Linked DNA regions of Lonchura striata. The protein of the gene in region 3 binds, or shares a complex with, the protein of the main gene of each other region. Links are inferred from orthologs where the notes say so. Each region holds a gene or a part of one and is shown on either strand. Other genes may lie near its edges.

Region 1 (8,081 bases), on a different chromosome or scaffold from region 3:
TGCTCTCTGTAGTTTACTTAAACTTTTGGCTCTGAGACAGAAATTTGCACCCTGTCTCAGGGGTCAGTGTGACTGTGGCTTTGTAATAAATACAATATATCAATTCCAAATACTGGAGCAATCTGTAAAGTCTGTTGAGATACAGTGCAAGTAATACAGTGCACTGGTTCATCTGAGCAGTGTCACAACTAGCAACTACAACAGAGTCTGGTGTTGCTGAACCGCCTGCTGTGTGGTCATTTCTCTCAGAGACTTTCATACAACCAAGCTGTTTATTAAAAAAGCTTTATAATTTCCCTCATATTTTTAAATGCTTCCAAAATTAAAATAATTTTACTGGATCCTAGAACAATGAAGATACCGTGACCCTTCAGCCTTACTCATATATTCTTATCCCTGTGTCAGAGCACAACCACCATTGTGGGTGCAAAGACTTTTCTATTTTGAGACAATTTAGTAACAAAAGGTTAGTTTTGATTTAAATGACCTCTTACATTACGCACTGGGTTCTGTATTTAGGGTCTATCTACAATATGAATTGAAATTCACAGAGGTTTTTGTCTGGAGGAGGACATCAGAAGGGGGAAGGAAAACAGGGCAAACAAAATTTTTCAAGTTTTGAAAGCTTCCAGGGTTTTGATAGGCTACTGCAGAGAGAAAATATTTTGGGAAGAATGCCTGTTCACAAGGCTCCAGATTCCTTTTCAAGAGGTTTAGTGTCTGTTGCAGTAGGATGGCAGCAATGCTATGAGCATACCTCCAGCTACTACTGGATACCTCAGAAAAGAAGGAGATCCCACAAATCAGCAAAGACCCTTGGAAACTGTAGCATGTTATACCATAGAGGAAAAGGACAAAAAGAGTACCAGAGTACATACATTTACGAAGTCACCTCCTTGGATCATGAAATCCTTTATTACCCTAAAGAAGTAAAACAACACTTAGTTCCCAGTGGCCAAAAGCCTCAAGAAGCTCAGTGTAACATGAAAAGAGGTTCTGCCTTGCTGTGCAACAGAAGTTAACACAGTTTGTGAATGCTGCAGCCTAAAATCTACAATAAATATTAACTGTTGATATGAGGTCATTTAGGACTCATTGCTTTTGTACAGAGATAGTGATTGTGTGATAGATGCCTTATCTGACATAGCACACCAGAAACAGGGGATTCCTCCCAGTGGGGAGGACAGCATCCCCAGGTCCCCCAAAGCCATAGAATTACATTAGCCATGATCCGCAAATGTCTCCAATACCACTAATAGCTTAAGGCAGCTCACAAAACTCTGTATGGCTCAGGCTGCTATTTAGTGTGCAAACAACGGTCTACGATTTACCTGTGGAAAGTGCTTCCTTTATAACCTATAGGGACACCATCTTTCCTGTAGGGCAGTGAAAAGGAGAATTATTGCAACCTACCGGATATCCCAACACAAAATAGTCCCAACAATTCAGAGTCCCAAAGGGTTGCTGTGTACATTAGCAGCTGCCTTGAAATACAAACAAGTGCCGCAGCCTCTCAGCTGCTGCTGTTGAAGGCAAAAAAAAGCCTCAAGTGGGCTCTGCACATGAATGACTCTGTTCCCTATAACACCCACATCATCACCTTCACAGGATCCCACTGCAATGTGCAGCATAAGCAGGTGGGCTTTGCAGATAGAGCTTATAGAGCCATGTGGGCACAAAAAAAGTAATATCAGAAAGCGAAACCTGCCATCTCTGTGAGTCTCCAAGCCCCTCACAACTTCCTCAGAGCAGGTTTCTCTTCCATTTTGTACTAGTACAACATAAAAAAGTTCAAGACAAACCCTTTCTACCTCACCCAGCCCTGTTTCTCAGTGGGACACTTAAAGGACATTATAATCCACTTACCTGAATTCACCTGTACAAAACTGCCTGGCAAACAAAAAGAGAGCAGAGTGTTAGGTGCATGTGAACTCTGAGGGCTACACAAACTGGTGCACAGGATTTTCCTTATTGTGTCAGAGATGTTCCCAGAGAAACAGGATTTGGCAATTCCTTCCCCCTGCCATTTCAAAACATATTCTGTGCTTTTTGTCGTGAGGAGGTCAGAGAGTTAACACCAAGGTTGTAAGACACTGTGAATATGGGGCAGACAGTGTGTTTGATAGAGAGCAGGGTATGTCCATCCTTCCAATGGAAGTGGGATTTCACATGGTGCATTCCTCATTTGATGGCAGGAAAACAGGATGACCAGGAGACCTCCACCATGACACAAGGCACTGTCTGCTCTAAATGCATGGAGCAAATCAGAAGGCTTCAGAGAGGAGGGCAGAGGAGGACCCCTTCCAGCCAGACAGGGTCCCCTGAGAGCCCAGGATGCCACACAGCATCTCTGAGAACAGAGAGACACAAAGCAGGTGAAGCAGTTTGGGGTGGGAGTTAGCTAATCAGTTTGCTACCAAAAGCCATTCCTGCACCAGAAAGCCTTTGCAGTTCCAGTCCCGGCTGAGCTGCAGGAACAGTAGCTGCTCATTACCTGAAGTTCTCTGCTGTTTTGGGTACGACATCTGCGAACAGCTCGATCTTCATGCGGCCAACATCCTAAGCAGACGGGGGCTAGGTGAGTCTTCCAGGTCCCTTCACAAAAAGACGCCTGCCGCCCGACCCCGAATACTCCCACAGATCCGGTCACCTTATTCACCCCCATTCATGCCCGTCCCTCCTAACGTAGTGCTTCTCCTCTCCCCTGTGAGCCCTTCCCCACAGGCCCGCTATCCGTCTCCTGGCACCGCCCCTCCCAGAGCTTCCAGCTGCGGCCCCGCAAGCCCCACATTGAGCCCCCGCACCTCCTGCGCTCTCTCATCCCCACAAGACTCCGACATCCCTAGTTATCCCCGCAGTCCCTCCGCGGGCGCCGCCACTCCGTCCTGGAGCATCCCCACCTGCCCGCCGATGGTTACATCGAAGAAAACCACGGGGTTGTTTGGATTCGCCGCCAGAGCCGACATCGCAGTACCACTGCCGGAAGCGGAAACGGCGGCGGAAGTGGAAACGGGGACGGAAGGAGAGACAGGGCGGGGCTGTGGGGGTGAGGTTCTCCGGGATGTCTGGGATGTGTTCGGTGTGTCCAGACTGTGTCTGCGGTATCGGGGTGGCGTCCGGAGCTCCATCCTGCTGGGACAGCTCGGACTCCCCAGAGTAGACCACTGCTCGGCTGGGAAGGCCTGCTGTTCAACTCCCTGTCCCCCTGGGCACACGCCGGCTGAACATGAGCCCAGTTGTGCCCAGGTGGGCAAGGAGGCCAATGGCACGTGGGCTGTACCAGCCACAGTGTGGCCAGTGGAACCAGGGCAGTGACCACCCACCTGTAGTGATGTGCCTCTAGTCCTGGGGTCAGTTCTTGGAGCTTCACTACAAGAAAAACATTGCAGGGCAGGAGTATGTCCAGAGAAGAGAATGGAACTGGGGAAGGGTCTGAAGTACAAGGAGCAGCTGAGAGAGCTGGGAGTACTCAGCCTGGAGAAAAGGAGGCTTGAGGGGACTTTTTCGCTATCCACAACTCCCTGGCACAAGGATGTAGTCATGTGAGGGTCAGGCTCTGCTCCTAGGCAACAAAGGACAGGACAAGAGGGACTGGCCTCAAGTTGTTGCAGAGGAAGTTCAGGTTGCACATCCGTAAGAATTTCTGGAAAGGCTCGTCCAGCCCTGGCACAGACTGTCCAGAATAGTGCTGGAGTCCCCATCCCTGAAAGGGTTTAAAAGCTGTGTAGATGTGGCACTTGGGGACATGGTTTAGTGGTGACCTTGGCAGTGGTGGGGGAGAAATTGGTCTCAATCTTCAGGATCTTTGCCACTAATTCTATGATTGCAACAGTTAGGTCTGTGCTTGTTTTCAAGGTTTGATCATCTGAACACTGCCTTTGAGAAGTTTACAGGACATCCTTCAATGTCCTGAGTGTGCTTGAGCAGAAGTCATGCTTTCTGTGGCAGAAAGATGAGCAAGGTATGTAAACAAGTGCACTGCAACTTTTCTGCTTGGAAAGAGACCTCTCCTGGATGAGAATCCTGATTTGGGAATAGTCATGTATACACTCAATGGCTGAGTGCAGCTGTCACAACCAGTGCTGTAGCTGGGCCTTGCCCTTTCCTTGTGGCAAGAGAAGGCTCCAGGGTGAAGATCAGCCCTGACTTGGCATGTACAGAAATGGGTTGGTGCAGAGCACTTTTCTGCCACTGAAATGCCAAAATGGCAATGCCTGCTTTTGGTGAACAAAGGTGATCTATTTCTATACCTTCAGCCTGTGATTGGTGACACAGTTTCCTCAGGGCATTTCCTAATGACTCTAAAGATTATTTTTGAGTCTGTTACTGTTTCCTGAGGGTGAAAATCTACTCAGTGATTTGCATTGGTGGATTGTGTCCTTCAGTGCGTCCTAGCTGTGGTTTTGCTTTAAAAACCACTGCAGTTCATCTGAAAATACCTTTTTTTGCAGGCCAGGGATGGGCAGTGGTACAAGATGAATGATGCCTCAAGACTTCTCTCTGCCAAAATACATACTTAGTTTTCTATGCCAGGTAGGAGCAAGTGTGAAAGGATATTCAGAATATACTCTCTCTTGTGTTACTGATCCTGTTGCTGTCTTCTCTGATGGGTTTTGCTTTTTGTCATAGGAGAGAATGGCTGTTTGTCCAGGTAAGTTCTTTCTGTCTTGCAGTTGACAGGCCATTTCTTCTCCCTTGCTGTCTGGCACTGAACTGGGCTTGTGTAAATTGCCAGATGCATGCTCTCTGAGAAGGGCCAGCTGTGAAAAGAGGCAAAATGGACATCTGAGAGTGTAAAGATGAGTCACTGCCTGAAAGGGCCAGACATGTCTGGAAAAATGTGGTCTATTTTCCAAAGCCTTGTGCTGTTTCAGTCTTCTGCATGTCATGTCAAATGTGCCAGAAAACAACAGGGCTGAAGCCTCAAGGAGTCTGCAAGAAATCAAGGAGGTGTAAAAAGCCCACACACACTGAGAAGGGGGAGAACTTGAATAGAAGTCAGCCAGACATTCTATCCCCCAGGAAAAGCAGGGCACCCTCACCACCAGCTGGGAAATGACCATGAGAACCTGCTCAGCTGTTCCCACAGGGACAGAAAGAGCTTCCTGATGGCAGAAGTTCAGGGAAGGATGGTGCAAGAATGAAGAAAGGGAACTTTTCTTCATTCATCATCAAGAGAGGAGAACTAAAAAGTGGCAACATAGCAACAGTTGCCTCACTCCTTGACAATCATTTCAAGTGCATATGGCTTCTGTATGGATCTGTTCAGTACTGGTCACTAAGCTTCCCAGCATAACCTGCCAGTGACCATTAAAGGCTGCAGATATCTCAGAAGAATGTTGACCATTAAACCTGACATTTATGATTGAAACAATAAAACCATCAAACCAAACCCAGTCCCATCTGGTGTTTCTGATTGTCCTATAGAGAGTTTGGGTCTGTTACTGTTTCCTGAAGGTGAAAAACTACTCAGAAAGAGACATGCAAGAAACAACAGACAGGGTTTTTAAAAATTTGTTTAACTCAAGGCTTCCTATATGAACACTCGCCTGTGATGCAGGAAGGTGGGAGCTTTTACACCTGTATTGCATGCAGCGATCTCAAGGAAAAAGTATTCTCAGGAACAGTGTCTCCAGGGCTCCTGGATCAGAGGCTCAGCTCCCCTGTGTGTGAGTCCTGTTCTCCCAAATGCAACATCCAGGGAGAGATGTCTCTGCAAGAGAGACAGGGAAACCAAGTGACTGCAAACATGGACACTAACAGTCCCCATTAACATGGGTGTTTGGTTAAGCAGGTGGGTTTCCACTCTTGCTACTCCTTTTGGTGAAGAAATTGGTTTCCTGGCAGAATTGGGCAGTGGAGTTTGATTAAAAAAGACAACACTTCACCTTGAAGATGATTCTGCAGTGTCTCACACAAGCTGCAGTTCATATACCTTCTGCCCTATTTCTCAGGTATCCCAGAAATCAGTTTCTTAGGCAAAACCAAGACAAACATTTAGGCATTTTTTATCACAGAAAGTATAAAGCACCAGCTCCTAAGCTTGCTTAGAAGCTCACTCCAAAATGAGAAAAGCTTCAAGCTCCACTGCCAGTGCTTGGGACTGCTGTGCCCTCTAGCAACCTAGTCCAGTGAGAAAGGTGTTGGGAGTAGGGGATGTGAGCTGGAGCACGGTCCAGATGAGCATCCAAGTGCAGAGATCTTCCTTGGCACCAGTCATGCTCTGGTGACCTGTGTAAAAGTCACTTCTTCAGCAGCCTCTGAGAAAGGGAAAGATACTTTACTACAGAAATACCAAGATAAATTATTATTTAGCTACATGTATTGCATCTGCATAAACAAATTCTTTGTGTCTTGTCCTCTTACCTTCTCAGGTACACATGACATCAAAAAACACCTTTGCAAATCATGTAAAACTTGCAATACAAGCCAGGTTACTACTCTTCCTCATAATCTGCTCAACCAACAGTGTCTTTCTCCAGGGCCTGCACACTATGAGTGGCCTCAGTTTCCACTTTCCATCTTTTTAATCTCCTCTGTCTTCTCCTGTCTTCTTGGGCTCTCTGCTGGGCACTGAACTCAGCCACTCCCTGACCTCCCAATGCTTTTCACTGCAATTGTGCTGGCAGATGTTACGTAAAAGCACTATCTTGGCTTGATAATCTGCACATTTTTCTCTTCACTTGCTGCTTTTTGATGCATTTTTTGATTTTATGAGCCCTTGTGCCCTGGCTCCCTCCTGCTGTTAAACCCAGTTCCTGCAAGAGAAGTGACAGGCAGTGTGTCCTCCATGGTGCTGTCTCCTCTGTGGTGCCTTACCTGCATGTCTCTGACCTGGACAGCTAGTGGGAATCATCACAGCACTCCTGGTACAGGCTTGTCTCCGGGTGTGGAACATGGTTCCTGAAAAAGAAAAGCGAAACGCACAGTAATACCTTGGCAATGTCCTGCTGGTAGAGCTGATTGGAAGGCAGCTCTCTAGACTGCCAGTGAGGCAAGTTGGCATCAAGTTCCAAGGCTGGTTCAGGGATGCTCTTGAGTAAAAGTGACACATTCTCAGCTCCACAGCTTCTATAGGCAAGCCATGTCAGTGCTTCACCACCTCCACAGGGAAGAATTTCTTCCCAGTGTCCCATCTAACCCTGATAGATATCAGTATGATGCTATTCTCCCTTTTCCTGTCACACCAGCTTGTCCCAAGTCCCTCTCCTGCTCTTCTGGAGCCCCTTTAGGCACTGGAACGGGCTCTAAGATCTCCCTAGAGCCTTCTCTGGGCTGAACATCCCTGGCTCTTTGTCTGTCACCAGAGCAGAGCTTCTCAGAGCAGTTCCATGGCCTTTGGACTGCAGGTCCACATCCTTGCTATGCTGGAGAACCCAGAGCTGGAGGCTGCACTGCAGGTGGGGTCCTGTCTGAGCAAAGAAGAGGGGTAGAACCCCCTCTCACCTGCTGCCCATGCTATGGGGATCAGCCCAGGACACAGTTAGTTTTTGGGCTGCCAGTGCACATGGACAGCTTATGTCTAGCCTCTCACCAGCATCCCACATCCTTTTTGGCAGGGCTACTCTCAATCTCTTTATCCCACAGCCTGTATTGATACTGAGTGTTACAATGGCCCATGTGCAGCACCTGCACTTGGTCTTGTTGAACCTCATAAAGTTCCTGTCAGCCCACTGATTGAGCCTGTTCAAGTCCCTCTGGATGGATCTGTTCTCTAGGCGTGTCACCCACACTGCTCAGGTTGGTGTCCTCTGCCAGTGTGCTGAGGGTGCACTTGATCCCATTGTCTGTTTCATTGATGAAGCCTTGAATAGCACTGGTGCCAGTACAGGCCCCTGAGGGACACCCATTGTCACAGATGTCCATCAGTACTCAGCCATCTGTCCATCCATTCATCTGTCCTTTTGTCCTTCTCTCTGTCCATCCATCCAGGCAACTTAGCATCTGTCCACTCTCCCACCTATCCTATGTCAATCCATCTCACCATCCTTCCCTTTGGCCTGGCTGTCCCTGCTCTCTCCATCTGTCCAGCCATCTACCTGTGAGACTAGAATGGTTATGGTTAAAGACTCAAAACAGTT
Region 2 (7,782 bases), on a different chromosome or scaffold from region 3:
CACGCGGCCGCATCGTCCAGCCAGGGTTCCTCCTCCCCCAGCGTCTTCACCTTCCTTTTTTGGGGCAAAAAAGGGATATTTTGGGGTTCCCAAAACGGCCTGAACCCCCAAAAATCCTCCTGGATCTCTTCTCTGCATCCCAGCGATTCCAGATTTTTCTCAATACTCCTAAAAACCTTTTCTTGCATCTAAAAATTCTACCCCAAATTCTTTTTTGTGCTCCTCACAATCTCCTAAAATATTCCCTGTGCCCTAAAATCTCCTCCCAGATGCTCTCCAAATTTTTCATATGCCCCAAAATCCCATCCTGGCCCCCCAAAATTCCCCCTGAAAATCCCAAATCCCCCCAAACCCTCCCGGGAATTCCCAGTTCCTCCCCAAACCCCCCAAATCCCCTCCCAGCTCCCCCAAAACTCTCCTAAACACCTCCCAAACCCCCCAATTCCTCCCAAATTCCTCTCATCCCCCCCCAAAACCCACAAACACCCCCAAATCCTCCCTAAACACTCCCAAATCTCCCCAAAACACCCAAATTCCTCCCAAATTCCTCTCAGCCCTGCCAAAATCCCCAATAACACCCCCAATTCCTCCTAAATTCCCCCCAAAATCCCTCCATACGCTCTCCCAGGCCCCTTACACCCCCCAATTCTTTCTCAAACCCTCCCAAATTCCTCTCAGCACCCCAAAAACCCCCAAATCCTCCCAGTTCCTCCTCAAATGCCCTTCAGCCCCCCCAGTTCCACCCCAAACACCCCCAAATCCCCCCAATTCCACCCCAAATGCCCCCTAAACCCCCCCAATTCCTCCCCAAACCCCCCAAAATCCTCCCCATATTCCCCCAAATCCTCCCCAATCCCCCCAAATCCTCCCTAAACCCCCCCAATCCCCACAAATCCTCCCCAAACCCCCCCAATTCCTCCCCAATCCCCCCAAATCCTCCCCAAACCCCCCCAATTCCTCCCCATATTCCCCCAATTCCTCCCCAAACCCCCCCAAATCCTCCCCAAACCTCCCCAAATCCTCCCCAAACCTCCCCAATTCCTCCCCATATTCCCCCAATTCCTCCCCAATCCCCCCAAATCCTCCCCAAATCCTCCCCAAATTCCCCCAATTCCTCCCCATATTCCCCCAATTCCTCCCCAAACCCCCCAAAATCCTCCCCAAATCCTCCCTAAACCCCCCAAATCCTCCCCAAACCCCCTCAATTCCTCCCCAATCCCCCCCGTACCCCAGTTTCTGGTTCAGCAGCCGTTTCTCCTTGGCCGCCGCCAGCTTCTCACGGATCTCCTCGCGCTGCCGCAGCGCCAGGGGATTGATCAGCTCGGCTGCCACCGGCTCCTCCTTGGTGCCCGCCTCTGCCCAGGCAGCGCCCCAAAACCGGCCCCAAAATCAGTGAAATCAACCCCAAAACCAGCCCCAAAATCAGCCCCAAACATCAGTGAAATCAGCCCCAAAACCGGCCCCAAAATCGGTGAAATCAGCCCCAAAATCAGCCCCAAACATCAGTGAAATCGGCCCCAAAATCAGCCCCAGGGCACCCCACAATCCACCCCAAAATCAACCCCGTAATCCACCCAAAAATCGGTGAAATCAGCCCCAAAATCGGTGAAATTGACCCCAAAATCAGCCCTGGGCAGTGCCCCAAAATCAGTCCCAGGCACCTCACAATCCACCCCAAAATCAGCCCCATAATCCACCCCAAAATCAGTGAAATTGGCCCCAAAATCAGCCCCGGGCAGCGCCCCAAAATCAGTCCCAGGCACCTCACAATCCACCCCAAAATCAGCCCCATAATCCACCCCAAAATCAGTGAAATTGGCCCCAAAATCAGTGAAATTGGCCCCAAAATCAGCCCCGGGCAGCACCCCAAAATCAGTCCCAGGCACTTCACAATCCACCCCAAAATCAGCCCCATAATCCACCCCAAAACCAAGGAAATCAACCCCAAAATCAACCTCAAAACCAGCCCTGGGGCACCCCAAAATCCATCCCAAATCACCCCCCAGCAGCACCTCAGAATCAGCCCCAAATCGTCCTCGGGGCACTCCACAATCACCCGAAAATCACCTCTGGGCAGCGCCCCAAAATCACTGAAATCGGCCCCAAAACCAGCCCCAAGCACCCCAAAAATCCCCCAAATTTCCCCAAAATCCCCTCACCTTTCTTGGCCGGGCCGGTCTCCAGCGGTTTCAGTCCCAGTTTGGCCCGGAGCTTACTGGGAACAGGGAAAGGGCTCAGGGGAGGTTTGGGGTGGGGGGACCCCAATTTTGGGGGATTTGGGGTGGGGTCCTCACTTGGTTTCTTCCACGCTCAGGGAGGATTCGCCTGCTGCGGGTTTAGGAGGGGCTGGAGAGGATAATTAATAAATTATTAGTAATTAATTAGAATTAGGGGAGCGGTTGTAACACTCAAAACCCCAAAATTCCCACTGAATACCCCAAAGTTCTCTTTAATCTCTCCAAAATCCCCTTTAACGCCCCAAATTTCACCTTTAACCCCCCAAAATCCCTCTGGGGTCTCTCTCATCCAAAGCTGCCCCCCCCAAACCCCCAAAATCACCCCCAGCTGCAACAACCCCCCCTCAAAATCCCACTAATTGCACCCCAAAACCTCCTCCAACCCCCGCAAATCCTCCAGCACCCCAAATCTTTGCTGTGCCCCTGAAACCCCCCCCAAAATCACCTCCAGCACCCCCGAGCCCCTCCCGACACCCCAAAATCCCCCCAAACTCCCCCTCAAATCCCTCCCCAAACCCCAAATTCCTCCCCAAAACTTCCCAGCCCCCCCCAACCTTTCCCCCCGCCCTCACCGGGCTCCTCCCGCTCCTCCTTCCTCTCCCTCTTCGCTCTCCGCTCGCTCTCGGTGCCGCCCCGGCCATGGCCGCTCCTCCCGCTCTCCTCGGCTCCTCCGCGCCGGGAGGAACCGGAGCCTCCCCCGGAGCCCCCGCGCTCGCCCCGGGAGCGGCTGCGCTTCCCGCGCCGCTCCCCGCCGCGGTGCCGGTGCTTGCGGTGCTCGCGGGGCCGCCCCGCGCTGCCGCCGCCGCCCGTCCCGGCCGCTCCCGGGGTCTCCTCGGCCGCCTCGGCCCCGCCGCGCTCCCGGTGCTTCTTCGAGGCGCCCATGGCCGCGCCGCCACTTCCGGGAGACAGCGGCACTTCCGGTGGTTGCCATGGAGACGCTTCCGGTGTTTGGCTACTTCCTGCGGAGCGCGGTGCTGATTGGCCGAGGTTTAGGCGGGACTTGAGGGGGCGCTGTGGGATGAACCATTATGCGCGCGGAGGGGTGGGCAGAATGAGCAGGATGGTTGTGACGCCGTCCTGTCCCCCCACAAAGGGCTGAAGATCTCCGTAAGAGGCACCGAGGATCTCCCGACTCGGTTCCCAGTGAGGAGACCCCGTGCGGTCTGCCCGATGAGGGGGCTCCGTAAATAGCGCACCCCCGGGGCACAGCAAAATGGCTGCGCCTAGCAGCGCTGAATAGAGACTTTGACAACAGCAAAATGGCGGCTGCTTGGGGTGTGGCAAAATGGCGGCGCATGGGGGGTACCCCGAAAAGGACGGGGGCGTAGAGAACCCTCCGGGAGAAGAAAAAGGCACGAGCCCCATAAGTGGCGTTCCGCTGAGCGGTGGCGCAAACCAGAGACTCCAAAACGCGCCCTCCGGGGCTCTGTCCCGCCCCGTTCGCCCCGGGGCGTGTCCGGCCCCCCCCGCCTCGTGCTCTTTGATCCGCCCGGGCCGGGCGCCGCGGCGGCGCCAGGGGGCGTGGTCAGTGAAAGTGGGCGTGGTTTGCCGGGGTATAAAAGGCTGCGCCGAGCCTCCCCCCCTCAGCCCCGTCACGAGGCATCGGCGAAGGTGCCGCCTGCTCTGAGGGGGCTCGAGCTCGGCGGGGCGCTTCTGGGGGGCGCAAAAGCCTCTTTGAGGATTTTGGGGTGTGCGGGAAGGGCTCGAGATCCCCCCCAAGGGCGGATTTGCTCGTTCAGGGACTCGTTGAGGTGCGGCCGCGAGGCCTGGAAAGATCTTGGGGCGTTCTGGGGCCTCTGTGAGGCTTTTGAGGTCCCTGGGGTGAGGGGTGTTAGATACTCAAGAGGAGCTTGAAACCCGCGCTAAGAGGATTTTAGGGTGCTACCGAGGAGGTTTTGGGGTGCGGGGAGCACCTTTGGATCTCTTTAAGACGCTTTCCCCACGGTGGGGGGGGATAAAGTCGGGGTTCAGAGGCCGTTCGTGGGGTGAGAGTTCAACCCCGCCCCGAAGCCTTTTGGGGCTCGGGGTTTTTCTGAACATTTCGGGGTGTTTTATTTCCCCCCCAGATGGAGCCCGAGGCGGCACCCCGCGAGCTGGAGCTGTCGGCGCTGGAGGCCGAGACGGAGCCGATGGCGGCGGCCGAGCCCGCGACCCCCGCGCAGCCTCCCCCAGCCCCGGAGCAGCTGCCGGGCGTGGAGAAGAACGGCCTGAAGATGAAGATCCCCCCCGAGGAGGAAGAAGAGGCTCCTTTAGGGGGTTCGGCGCCTTCGGGGAGCCCCAAATTCACGGGGCTGGGCAAGGAGGAGCTGCTGAGGGAAGCGGGGACGCCGCTCTGGGCCCGGGCCCGCCTGGTGCTGCTCGTGCTCTTCTGGGGGGGCTGGATCGGGATGTTGGGGGCCGCCGCTGCCATCGTGGCGCAAGCGCCCCGCTGCCAGCCCCTGCCCACCAAAGCCTGGTGGGAGCTCGGGGCGCTCTACAGGGCTCCCCCCAAGGCTTTTGGAGGTGATCTGAAAGGTGAGGGGGGGGTTTTGGGGAGGTCTCCTGGGAGTTTGGGGGGTGGGAGGGTCCCAGAGGATGGCTGGGGGAATTTGGGGGGATCCCTTGGGGGGGGTCCCATGAGGTGTTTGGGGGCGGTTTAGAGAGTAATTTGGGGGGTGGGAGGGTCCCAGAGGATGGCTGGGGGAATTTGGGGGGATCCCATGGGGGGGGTTTAGAGAGTAATTTTGGGGGTGGGAGGGTCCCAGAGGATGGCTGGAGGAATTTGGGGGGGGTCGGGGTCCTTTTGGGGGGTGGGAGGGTCCCAGAGGATGGCTAGGGAAATATGGGGGGATCCCATGGGGGGTTTGGGGGGGTTTAGAGAGTAATTTTGGGGGTGGGAGGGTCCCAGAGGATGGCTGGGGGAATTTGGGGGGGGTCCCATGAGGGGTTTGGGGGGGTTTAGAAAGTAATTTTGGGGGTGGGAGAGGGTCGAAGGGTCCTAGGGGATGGCAGAAGGAATTTGGGGGGTGTTCTCTGGGGGGCTTAGGAAGTTTGGGGGATCCCTAGAGGTGAGTTGGGGGTGTTTAGGGAGTCTCCAGCCTGGTTCTGGGGAGGTTCGGAGGGTTGGGGGCATCCCCAGGAAGGTTTGGGGGTCTCCTGGGAGCCTGTGAGGGGGGGGGAACACCCCATTTAATAAACCCCTAAAATGAATTAAAGAATATTTTGTGGGGGGAGTCGTTTCAGTGCCCCCCCAGCATGTGTCAGGGTGATTTACCAAAAAGAACCCACAGGATCAGATTGGGGACCCCCATTTCAGGACCCCCCCACCCATAAAAGAGCCTGGGGACAAGTGACTCAGCAACTTGGGGGGTTCCTCCACTTTAGGGGAGTCCCACGATCTCTGGGAATTGCTCAAAGCCTGAGCGGGCCCCCAAATTTTGGGGATTTTGGAGTTTCCTCCAATTTTGGGGTGATCTTGGGATCCTGGGAGGACGTTTTAGGACCCAGGGGCTGGTTTTGGGGTCTAGGTGGGATTTTGGGGTTGTGTTGTCGGGTCAGATTTGGGGTTCACCCCTTTTTCCTCCTCTCCAGGTGTGGAGAAACGTTTGGGGTACCTGAAGGAGAAGCTGCAGGTGGGGGGGCTGGTGCTGGGCCCCGTGTACCCCCAAAAATCCCCCGAGGCCAAAATCCCCCCCCTGAAGGAGCTGGACCCCACCCTGGGCACCATGCAGGACTTCAGCGCCCTGGTGCATGCAGCCAAGGACAAAGGTGAGCTGGGGGCACCCCAAAATTGGGGGGGACGACCCCAAAACTGGGGGCGGGGGGACACTGGGAGGAACCCCAGAATTTGGGGGAAATGTTGGATACGGGGCGGGGAAAAATGGAGAGCTTGAATTTGGGGGAGGGGCAGCAGAGAATTGAAGGGGAAGACCCCCAAAATTTGAGGGGCACAAAATTGATGGGGGGGGACACCCCCAAAATTGGGGGTGGGGGGGGAATGCAGTGGGAGCCTCAGTTTGGGGGTTCCCATGGTTGGCTGTTTAGCAAGGCAGAAGGAGCCCCCAAAAAAGGGGGATCCCCCATAGTGGGGGGGGGGGTCTGTGATGCTGGGGGGGTTTTGGGGTGCCCTGACCCCCCCATTTTCACCCAGGGGTGAAGGTGATCCTGGACCTGACCCCAAACCCCGCCGGGAATCCGGTGTGGGGGGACGCAGCCCAAGACTCTGAGGTGCACCAGCAGGTCCAGGTGGGTCTGGGGGGGCTGTGGGGTGGGGGTGGGGGGCTTGGGGGTGTGGGGGACCCCCCTGAACCCCCCCTGTGCCCCCCCAGGCCGCCCTGAGCCATTGGCTGAAGGAGGACATTGCTGGGATCTTCCTGGATGGCATCGAGGAGCTCCCGGTGAGGGGGCTGGGGGGGATTTGGGGGAGTTTGGGGTGGAATTGGGGGTTTGGGGTAGAATTTTGGGGGTTTGGGGGTTTGGGGTAGAATTTTGGGGGTTTGGGGTAGAATTTTGGGGGGTCTTTAGGATCTCTGGTGACCCCCGCTGTGTCCCCCCAGAACTTGGTGGTGGCCCAGTGGAGGAACCTGACGGAGCAGCAGCCGAGCCCCAGCGGTGTGGACAGGTGCGACCCCCCAAAAAACGTCCCTGTGTCACCCCAATGTCCCCCCAAACTCACTGACCCCAAAATGTGTCCCCTGTGTCACCCCCAAACTCACTGACTCCCCCCCAAACCTCTCCTCCTCTCACTCTTTGCCTCATGGGTTTCTTCCTTGTATTTTGGGGTGCTGGGAGTGCTCCCCTGACCTTCCCGCCCCCATTTTTGGGGTGATTTTCTGACCTTTTGCCCCTATTTTTGGGGTGCTTCCCTGGCCTTTTCTAGGTCAGGAAAAGGTTGTTTTTTGGTTGTTGCTCTGATCTTCATTTTTGAGGTGCTCCCTTGACCTTCCCCCACATTTTTGGGGTTCTCCTGTGATTCATCCTCCCTGTTTTCCAGGTGTCCCCCTGCTCTTTCCCTCCTCATTTTTGGGGTGCTCCCCTGACTTTTCCCCCCTGATTTTTAGGGGTACTCACCTGACTTTTTCCTATTCATTTTTGGGGTGCTTCCCTGCCTTTTCCCCCCTGATTTTTGGGGTACTTACCTGTTTCCTCTTCATTTTTTGGCGTCTCCTCTGATCTTTTGCTCCTCATTTTCAGGGCTCTCCCCTGACTTTTCCCCCTGATTTTCAGGGCTCTCCCCTGACTCATCCCCCCCATTTTTGGGGTGCCCCTGTCTGTTTTTAGGGTGCTGGTGGGGGGCACGCGCCTGCAGGACCCCTGGGAGGTGCCGCGGGGCCCGGGGATGCCGCAGCTGCTGCTGGGACCCTTCCTGCAGCCCCTGGAGCCCAAGGGCGACTCCAAGGCCCCCGAGGACGTTGTGAGGAACCTCCTCAACTTCCTCAGCTCCAACTCCTCCGTGGGGCTGGGCTGGAGCGTGAGTGCTGCCCCCCAAAACCTCCCCGGGACCCCCCAGATCCCTCCAGGAGCCCCAGAACCTCCCCGGGACCCCCCAGATCCCTTCAGGAGCCCC
Region 3 (7,497 bases):
GTGTGGCTGTACTGAGCATGAGAGAAGCAAAAAGCACTCAACAAGGCAAACTGTGGCTACCAGACCCTGAGTTCGGTGTTATGGAGGTAACTTCAGGGAGGTGCCAGCTCCATGAATACACCAAGGGCAACCATGAAGGTAAATTATCTGTCAGAAGACTCAAACACTATTAATTAAACATTGAGCTTTATCCTACAGAAACCAAAGGAGACAACTTTGTGCAACTCCAGAAGTGGAAGACTAAAATGACAACTGTGGATTATTTTGTCAAAGGGCTGCTGCCTTCTGAAACATCTGTTTGTTTGCTGCTATCAGAAGATACTAAAGGCCCCTACTTCCACTCATAGGGTTTATCACAGTTAACCCAGTGACTCACCTTGACAGAATGTCTGTGTGAAATGGGGTTGATCAGAGGATCAAAGTAAAAAGCTGGGAGGTCAGGATCTTCTGTTTTAATGAAAACAACATTTGGAGTATGATACCTGCAAAAAAATAAATATGCATTAGAACCTCTGACAGCCTTTCCCTCCTCTCCTGGCTCTGGAGGCTGCTGCTCTTACCAGGTGAGGTGGACATGGTGGGGCAGGTTGTTGTACAGGTAGGGGAAAGCAATTTTGTACTCTGTCCTGATAGGCTGCCTGATGATGATTTTGTTGATGTCATTAAATTCATTCCAGTCTTCATCCCTTAAAACGAGACAAGAAACTGTTATGCAGGCATTCAGGGTGAGAGAGACAGAAAACACCCCATCAGCCCTCTCCTAGACAACCACTCATCTCTCTCCCAAAACCAACACTTACTGAAGATTGATGTCCCTGACGAGGGGCTCAAACTTGGGACCTCCAGGAATGGCCATGTTCAGTGCCTTGGAGGTGAAGAAGGCTTTCAGGTCAAACAGGTAGAAGTAGTTGTCATCCACCAGGTCAGTGAGCAGCTGGTTGGCCAGGCGGTACAGTGTGGACATCATGGGGAGGGTGAACTGCCAGCGCTGGTACGTGGAGCCGTTGACGTACCTGGGAAAGCAGAGCATGGACACTCCACACACAGAATAACCAAACACCTTCTGCCACCCATCCTTCATCAAGAACAGATATCTGCGTGTCTCTAGCCTGAAAAAAAGGCTGCAGCACTATTAAAGACCACTCTAGACTCCTCCTGCCCAGAAAATGCTGGCTGCTCCAGTTCCTCTTCTCCTGTGTCTCAAGTGACACAGAACATCTGGGCACCTTTAGCAAATTCCAAATTCCAGCTACACAATGCAGGCTGTCAGCTTTACAACATGGTCAGAAACACCAGTTTTAGGAAGTAAGTGGGTAACAGGCCTCCTGGATAGAGGAGCCTTGCTGGATCCTGAACCATAGAATCCCAGAATGGATTTGGTTTTGCTTGGAAGGAACCTTAAACCTCATCTTTTTCCAAGCCTTCCACCATCCCAGGCTGCTCGGAGCCCCACCCAACCTGGCTTTGGACTTCTGAGCAACCTGCAGGCAAAAGATGCAGCTTTCCAACACTCAGCTTTTCCCTCCCATCCTTGAGGGAAGGTTTTTCTCTCCTCACCAACATCACACAAAGGTTACACACTGCTCTGTGCACGTCATTCATGCACTGTTTGTTTTTTGTTTTTCTCCCCCTCCACAGCCACTTACTTCCTGTTGTCCTTCAGAGGCTGGTGGTCATAGAACCAGTCCAGCACAGGGGCATCCTCCTCTGGATCCAGCTCCAGCTGAATGGCTTCCAGGGGCTCCACATCCAGGATGTTATCAGCATAATCCAGAGGGGGTTCTTCATCGTCAAACGGGGGGAATCTCATCCTCTTGAAGTGGCGCCTGTCCCTCTTCTCCCGCCTCATCATAATCCACATGGAGCTGCAGGAAATCAGGGGTAGGTTAAAAGCAGGGGGATTTTATGGTGGGTGCAAAAAGGTGAAAGAAGCAGAAGGCACCTACCCCCACTGGGCAATGTAGACAGGTTCGATGACCCAGGGGATCTCGTTGACAAAGGAGATGGCGCCCGTGATGTGGTACAGGACGGGAACGTCCCGGATCTGCTCCCAGGGCATGGGCATGTTCTCCAGGAGCTTCAGTACAGCATGGGGCATGTACTTCAGAGCACTGCAACCACAAACCAGGGAAAACCACGCTGGAGTGGCTCTCAAGGACAGCCAACCACCTGCCACGAGCCCAACAACCTCCCAGTTTTCCCTAGGAACTGCTCATCTGACCTGTTCAAAAAGCAAATCCATGGATCTCCCACTCTACCTTTGGATTATCAAAAGGTTTTTTAGTGATTTGGCTTTCAAGAATGTTGCTAACAGAAACTGAAGTTTTTAAGTTAGTTCATAGAGTTTTTTAGGTAATTGTAACTTATTGCAGCAGACCATGATGTGCACTAGACAGCTCTCTACCCCCAAACAGCACTCAGGATGCTTTTTAATCTTTAAAAAAACATTCCACACTCTCCCCAACTCCTTCTAAGACACTCAGTTATGCAGGGTCATGTTTTTTCTCATAAATTCAGAGCAACAATTCCCTTTGCTGACGCTCCTTTGCACTGATACCTCACAGCAACAGATTGAGCTACAACTGAAAAGCTGAAAAGCCTTTTGGAGAAGGGGCTTCCCCTTCAATGATGCATTATCCAGGCTAATGTTTTTTCTCATAAACTCAAGGCAACAACTCCTTTTGCTGATCCTCTTCTGCACTGACACCTCAGGGCATCCTCACTGAGTTACAATGTTCACAAAAAGCCTTTTGGAGAAGGATCTCTCCCTCCAGGGCAGCAGCAGATCCCCCTGTGCCCCACACCGGGGGTCCCTTACCCCAGGTAGACTCGCTTGTCGTGACGGAACTTCCTATTGGTCATGTCGCCGTGGTCGCGGATGATTTTGCGGACATGCTCGGGGGGCATGTCCTCCTTCTGCGCATCCACGAAGCCGAATTTCCTCTTCTCCGCGTAGCGCTTGGCCTGCAGCTGCTGCCACTTGCGGGCTGCGGGGACACAGAGGCGGCGGCTCAGGCCCTGTCCCCCGCGGAGGCTCTGGGCCGCCGGGGCCGTACCCACCTTTCTCCTGCAGCTTCTCCTCGGACATGTAGTCGGGCAGCGGCGCCAGCGGGTTGGGCACCGGGGCGCAGCCGCCGCGGTACGGGAACACGGCGGCCATGGCGACGCAACTGCGCAGAGAAGATGGAGAGGGGCTCAGTGCGAGGTACGGGACCACGACGGGGCCGCCGCCGGTCGCTCCCCCGCCGCTCCCGCGCACCCCGGGCCCGCCGCTCCGCTGCCCTCACCGGCAGCCGCGACCCCCGCGCTCCCCCACCACAATGGCGGCCCCGCGCCGCCGCCACCGCGCCTGCGAGACCCGGATGTGGGCGGGACTCGCGGCGCGGAACAGCCAGTCAATTTTTAGGAGATCTGACAGACAGCAGGTTTATCCTATCAGAGCGCGGAGCGGCGGGGGAGGCACTGAGGGCGGAAGAGGGGAGCAAGCGGTGTCTGGCGCACATTTCCGTTGTGGTGTCCCGCTTTCCCCGGTCCCGCCCTTCGCTGCTTCCGATTGGCGGAGACAGCGCGGCAGCGCCTCTGATTGGACAGCGCCTGGCGTAGCTCACTCCGCGCTGCTTTAGGGGGCGCCCCTGGCCGGGTCGTGCCCCCCCCCCGCCAGTGATGGTAGGGGCGGGGGGCGCCCTCAGGGCGACATTTTGGACATTTCGGACACATCCCGGTGATGTCCGCGGTGGAGCTGCGTGGGGACATCCCCCACGGGGCCTGGACATCCCCTCAGTTCGGCTGAGCCCGTCTCAGTCACGCCCCCGTGCCCCAGGCAGGCAGGGGGATGCCGCTCCCCAGTGATGCACTGCCCCCATGGCTACACCATGGCCCCAGCAAGCAGCCACCCACTCGTTGTCCCCTTCCTGCCTCTCCACAGGAACACAGATGGCCCCCGACCCTCAGTGTTTGCCCAGCAGCTCACTGTGGGTGGGTTCAATGTGTTCTCAGGGCCCCTCAGCAGCCAGGCGAGCTCTTGCCTCAGGGTTTTGCCAGGGTGGAAGCTCCCATGGGGAGAGGGGTTTGTTCGGGGGGTGATTGGGTGGCAAGCCGGGGTGTTACTCCCCAGCAATTAATTCCCTGATGGAGATGCTCCTTCTAACCCCGTGGTGGTGGTATTCCCACCCCTATACGGTGGGAACAGAGTGGTGAGTCCTTCCCAAAACCTTTCAAAGCGAAGCTCTGGCACTTCCCATCGGGATGGGCAGGCACAGGGCATCCCCACGTCCGACCTGGGTGACCTGCAAAGCCGCTGCTTTTTCCCCCTTAGCCCTGTGGGAAAACCACGGTGGATTAAGAGGTGCCCAAACCAGGCTGCCCTGGCCCCCAGCCCCACATCCATGTGACGGCAGGAATGTGGGAACACAATCCAGGCCTTGAGAAGCCTCCCGACTGTGGGCTGGAGAGCAGAGGCAGCGTTGTTACCTGTGCAGCAGCTCCTGGAAAATTCGGAATACGTGGGTCAAAGCAAAGAGAAAGCCTTGGGTGACAGTTTTGCTCCAGCTGGGAGCTGTGAGTGGCACACAGGTGCCTCAGCACTGCTTGAGGTTACGTACCCAAACCTGGAGTAATTGTGCCCAGCACCTGGAAGCTTCCCTGCCCTCCACAAATAGAAACGTAAGCGGCTTTAGCCTCCAGCCTCACACTGCCCATGGATCCCTCATCTTTCCCTGTCTCTGTCCTCAAAACATGTGCCACCCTCTCCGAGCAGTGCCTTGCTCCAGCCTGTCCCCAGGGTCTTCAAACCAAGGGAGAGATTTTGTGTTAAAGCTTATCCGCCACACAAAAGAAAAGGTGACTGAGCCGGTGGATTTCTCCAGACTGCTTCACCTTAACTCCAAGTAGGATGATCCTGTTATATACACAGTGCTGGGCTGCTGGGGAACAGTCCAGTGTGAGAATCAGTGAGGAAATGTGGAGTGGAAGAATGTTTAAAAACCTTCATTTTCCTCCACAGAAAGGAGAGGGGTGGGGAAAAAACCCAACAAGAGAGGTAGAGTGTGCCAGTGTACAGTGTATTTTCACTCCATGGCAGGGAGACTGGGGGTAAGGACTGGGCTAAGCAGTGACACCCCCAGATTGGGCTGGGATGATGAGTCCTCGTGTCCCCTCTCAGTCCTTTCCCCTCAAGCCACTTCATTTGCAGCCATTTATTAAAAGCTCATGTTAGTAAGAGCCTTTGCTGTCAAGTGAGAGCATTACCCCGGGCTCTGCAGCACAACTTGGCACTCCTAACAGATGCCTGAATCTTAAAAAGTGCCTGAAAACCCCTCATGTGTGAGAAGTGACCATCACACAGCATCCTCCTTCCAGCCACTCGTGCTCTCCCACGCTCATTTATGGGCACTTGAATTATCTGGGGACAAAACATGATGGAAAAGCTCCAGTTGCCAGGAGAGGTTGGGGCTGCCCCCACAGTGGGCAGCTGCCACCCAGCCAGGTCTCAGCCTGGGAAATCTCCTCAGGGAGGGCTCATCAGTGCAAGGTTTGTTTTTTACTGACCATCACCTTGAAGGCAAAGCCTTGGAACCTGTCTTGCTGGTGGTGTTCCCACAGGAGATGGCACGGAGAACTCAGTGTCCCGTGGCTGATGGGACGCTGCAGCACCAAAGGGGTTGGAAACACTCGGTGGTGTTGGGATGTCTGGAAGAGCAGTGGGGAAACAGTGCTGCTCTGCCCCCGTCTCATCTCAGTGGTGCCTCAGGGAGCTGTGAGAGCTGTCGAGGCTTCTCTCAGCAGCTCCCGCTTGTCCAACCACATCATCCAAAAGCGTCTGGGGAGCAGAGCCACCGTGCCTGGTCCACGAGCACCTCCTCTGCTGTGCAGGGCCCAGGCTCTTGAGCCACAAGCAAAGCCTGGATGCTCTGTTAGTGCAGCCCCTCCCTGCGAGGTACCAAAACATTCACCCTCCACGTGCTTCCACGGGTTTGGAAGTGCCCCTTCTCAGGGGAGGGCCTATTCCTCCTTCTCCCTCCTGGATTTGAGGAAGTCACTCCGCAGCAGGCGGTAGAAGAGGATGACGTTCATGGGCGTCATGATTGCCATGCCCACCGTGCCCACGGCGTAGGTGGCCGGGGGCACGTTCTGCCGGTTGAGGAAGAGCCAGCGGCTCATCCAGGCCAGCGTGGCGATGCGGAACACCACGTAGGTGCCCAAGTTGATGAGGCTGTTGAGGCGGTAGCAGGTGGTGTGCACCAGGTTGGCCATGAGCATGATCTGCCGCAGGTGGAGGAAGATGGAGTTGATCTCCACCAGTAAAGCCACGAGGGCAAAGCCGACGTACTGGTGGAGCAGCACGGCAATCCCAAAGCAGATGATCACCTGGGAAGGAGGGAGAAGAGAGGCTGAGCCCAGGGGCTGGTTGCTCTCAGCTGCTGCAAGCTGGAACCCTCCACACTAGGGCACAGCAAGGAGCTGAGGTGGAAAGGATCATCAAACCACGGGCCACCCCTGCAGCATTGCAGCCTCTGGCACTTCCCTCACCGTTGCATGAAACCTGAGTGGGGTTTTTTTGTTGCAGTGAGAAGAGAAGGAAGCAGCTCTTTAAGCCCCAGGCTGGCTGAGGAGACAAAGCAGCCTGACCTAACCCTGCTGTTGTGGCCTGGAGAACGTTGTTGTGGCTCAGCAGGTTTTTCCACACACAGTGAACGGACAGGAAGGGAGACTGTAGCCCAGGGCTACGCCACTGCTGGCTCAGGGATTGTCCCCAGGACAGGCACCCTGCAGGGATTAGGTGGCTTTGGTGTATCAGAGAGCCCCCTGAAGCACCCTGGGGCTGTTTGGGACAGGATTCCTGCCCCGCACCCTCCCTGCCAGGCAGGGGGACAGGCTGGCCTGCCCACGCTTCAGCACACTCAGTCCTTTCTTTGGTTTATGCCATTAGTGCTGTTCTCTGTATGGGCTCTGTAATGAGATTATCGGCTCGTTAAATCACTGTCTTGGCTTGAATTAGCTCCATTGTGGAGGTGAACTTTTGGCTCACCAGCAGCAGCCAGCAGAGCCCCAGGGCTCACTGACAGAGAGGTTTGACTACCCAGTCTCATCTCAGGTGAGTGCCAGCACTGTCCCTGTCCCCATCCCCAGGCCCTGCACACCCCTGAGCCTCCCCTGAACCCTGCAGCATCTCATGGAGCTCAGCTCCAGGCCGTGCCACCCCCCTGCCCTGCAGCATCCACAGTCTCAGCACCACGGAATTGTTTCGGTTGGGAAAAACACTCTGGCACGTGGACAGCAGAGGTGACCAGAGAGAAACCCACACAGGGCACAGCAAGACAGGCAGAGGGCACTGAAGTGGGGCTCCTGCAGCACAGCTGCTCCAGCCACAGTAGCCCCAGGTGGGAGGAAAGCACCCTGGGCAGGGGAGGTGGATGAAGGGGTGTGCAGCCCTTGCTGGCAGGTGCTCAAGAGGGCAAAAGCCACAGGAGGTGAGCTGCTCACCTTTGCCAGAGGGGA

The links.
Region 1: PRPF8 (region 3) and PPIH share a complex: the UniProt entries of both Homo sapiens proteins name them as parts of the U4/U6-U5 tri-snRNP complex. The link is inferred for Lonchura striata from reciprocal best matches to the Homo sapiens genes PRPF8 and PPIH.
Region 2: PRPF8 (region 3) and SART1 share a complex: the UniProt entries of both Homo sapiens proteins name them as parts of the U4/U6-U5 tri-snRNP complex. The link is inferred for Lonchura striata from reciprocal best matches to the Homo sapiens genes PRPF8 and SART1.

What each region holds. Positions count from the first base shown.
Region 1 is NC_134626.1:8,516,743-8,524,823, forward strand, and holds the start of PPIH (peptidyl-prolyl cis-trans isomerase H), read right to left. Parts: upstream 3,120-8,081; 5' UTR 2,967-3,119; coding exon 2,901-2,966; intron 2,560-2,900; coding exon 2,495-2,559; intron 1,891-2,494; coding exon 1,867-1,890; intron 1,377-1,866; coding exon 1,332-1,376; intron 922-1,331; coding exon 879-921; intron 1-878. UniProt on the Homo sapiens protein: PPIase that catalyzes the cis-trans isomerization of proline imidic peptide bonds in oligopeptides and may therefore assist protein folding. Participates in pre-mRNA splicing.
Region 2 is NC_134638.1:688,551-696,332, forward strand, and holds the start of SART1 (U4/U6.U5 tri-snRNP-associated protein 1), read right to left. Parts: upstream 3,120-7,782; coding exon 2,810-3,119; intron 2,347-2,809; coding exon 2,295-2,346; intron 2,216-2,294; coding exon 2,160-2,215; intron 1,356-2,159; coding exon 1,229-1,355; intron 55-1,228; coding exon 1-54. Other genes in the region: amino acid transporter heavy chain SLC3A2, read left to right, coding at 4,304-4,751, 5,808-5,984, 6,367-6,461, 6,545-6,613, 6,773-6,837, 7,497-7,686. UniProt on the Homo sapiens protein: Plays a role in mRNA splicing as a component of the U4/U6-U5 tri-snRNP, one of the building blocks of the spliceosome. May also bind to DNA.
Region 3 is NC_134622.1:6,931,839-6,939,335, forward strand, and holds the start of PRPF8 (pre-mRNA-processing-splicing factor 8), read right to left. Parts: upstream 3,358-7,497; 5' UTR 3,288-3,357; intron 3,171-3,287; 5' UTR 3,161-3,170; coding exon 3,061-3,160; intron 2,988-3,060; coding exon 2,819-2,987; intron 2,112-2,818; coding exon 1,947-2,111; intron 1,866-1,946; coding exon 1,647-1,865; intron 1,014-1,646; coding exon 801-1,013; intron 687-800; coding exon 561-686; intron 483-560; coding exon 377-482; intron 1-376. Other genes in the region: TLCD2 (TLC domain-containing protein 2), read right to left, coding at 6,001-6,366. UniProt on the Homo sapiens protein: Plays a role in pre-mRNA splicing as core component of precatalytic, catalytic and postcatalytic spliceosomal complexes, both of the predominant U2-type spliceosome and the minor U12-type spliceosome.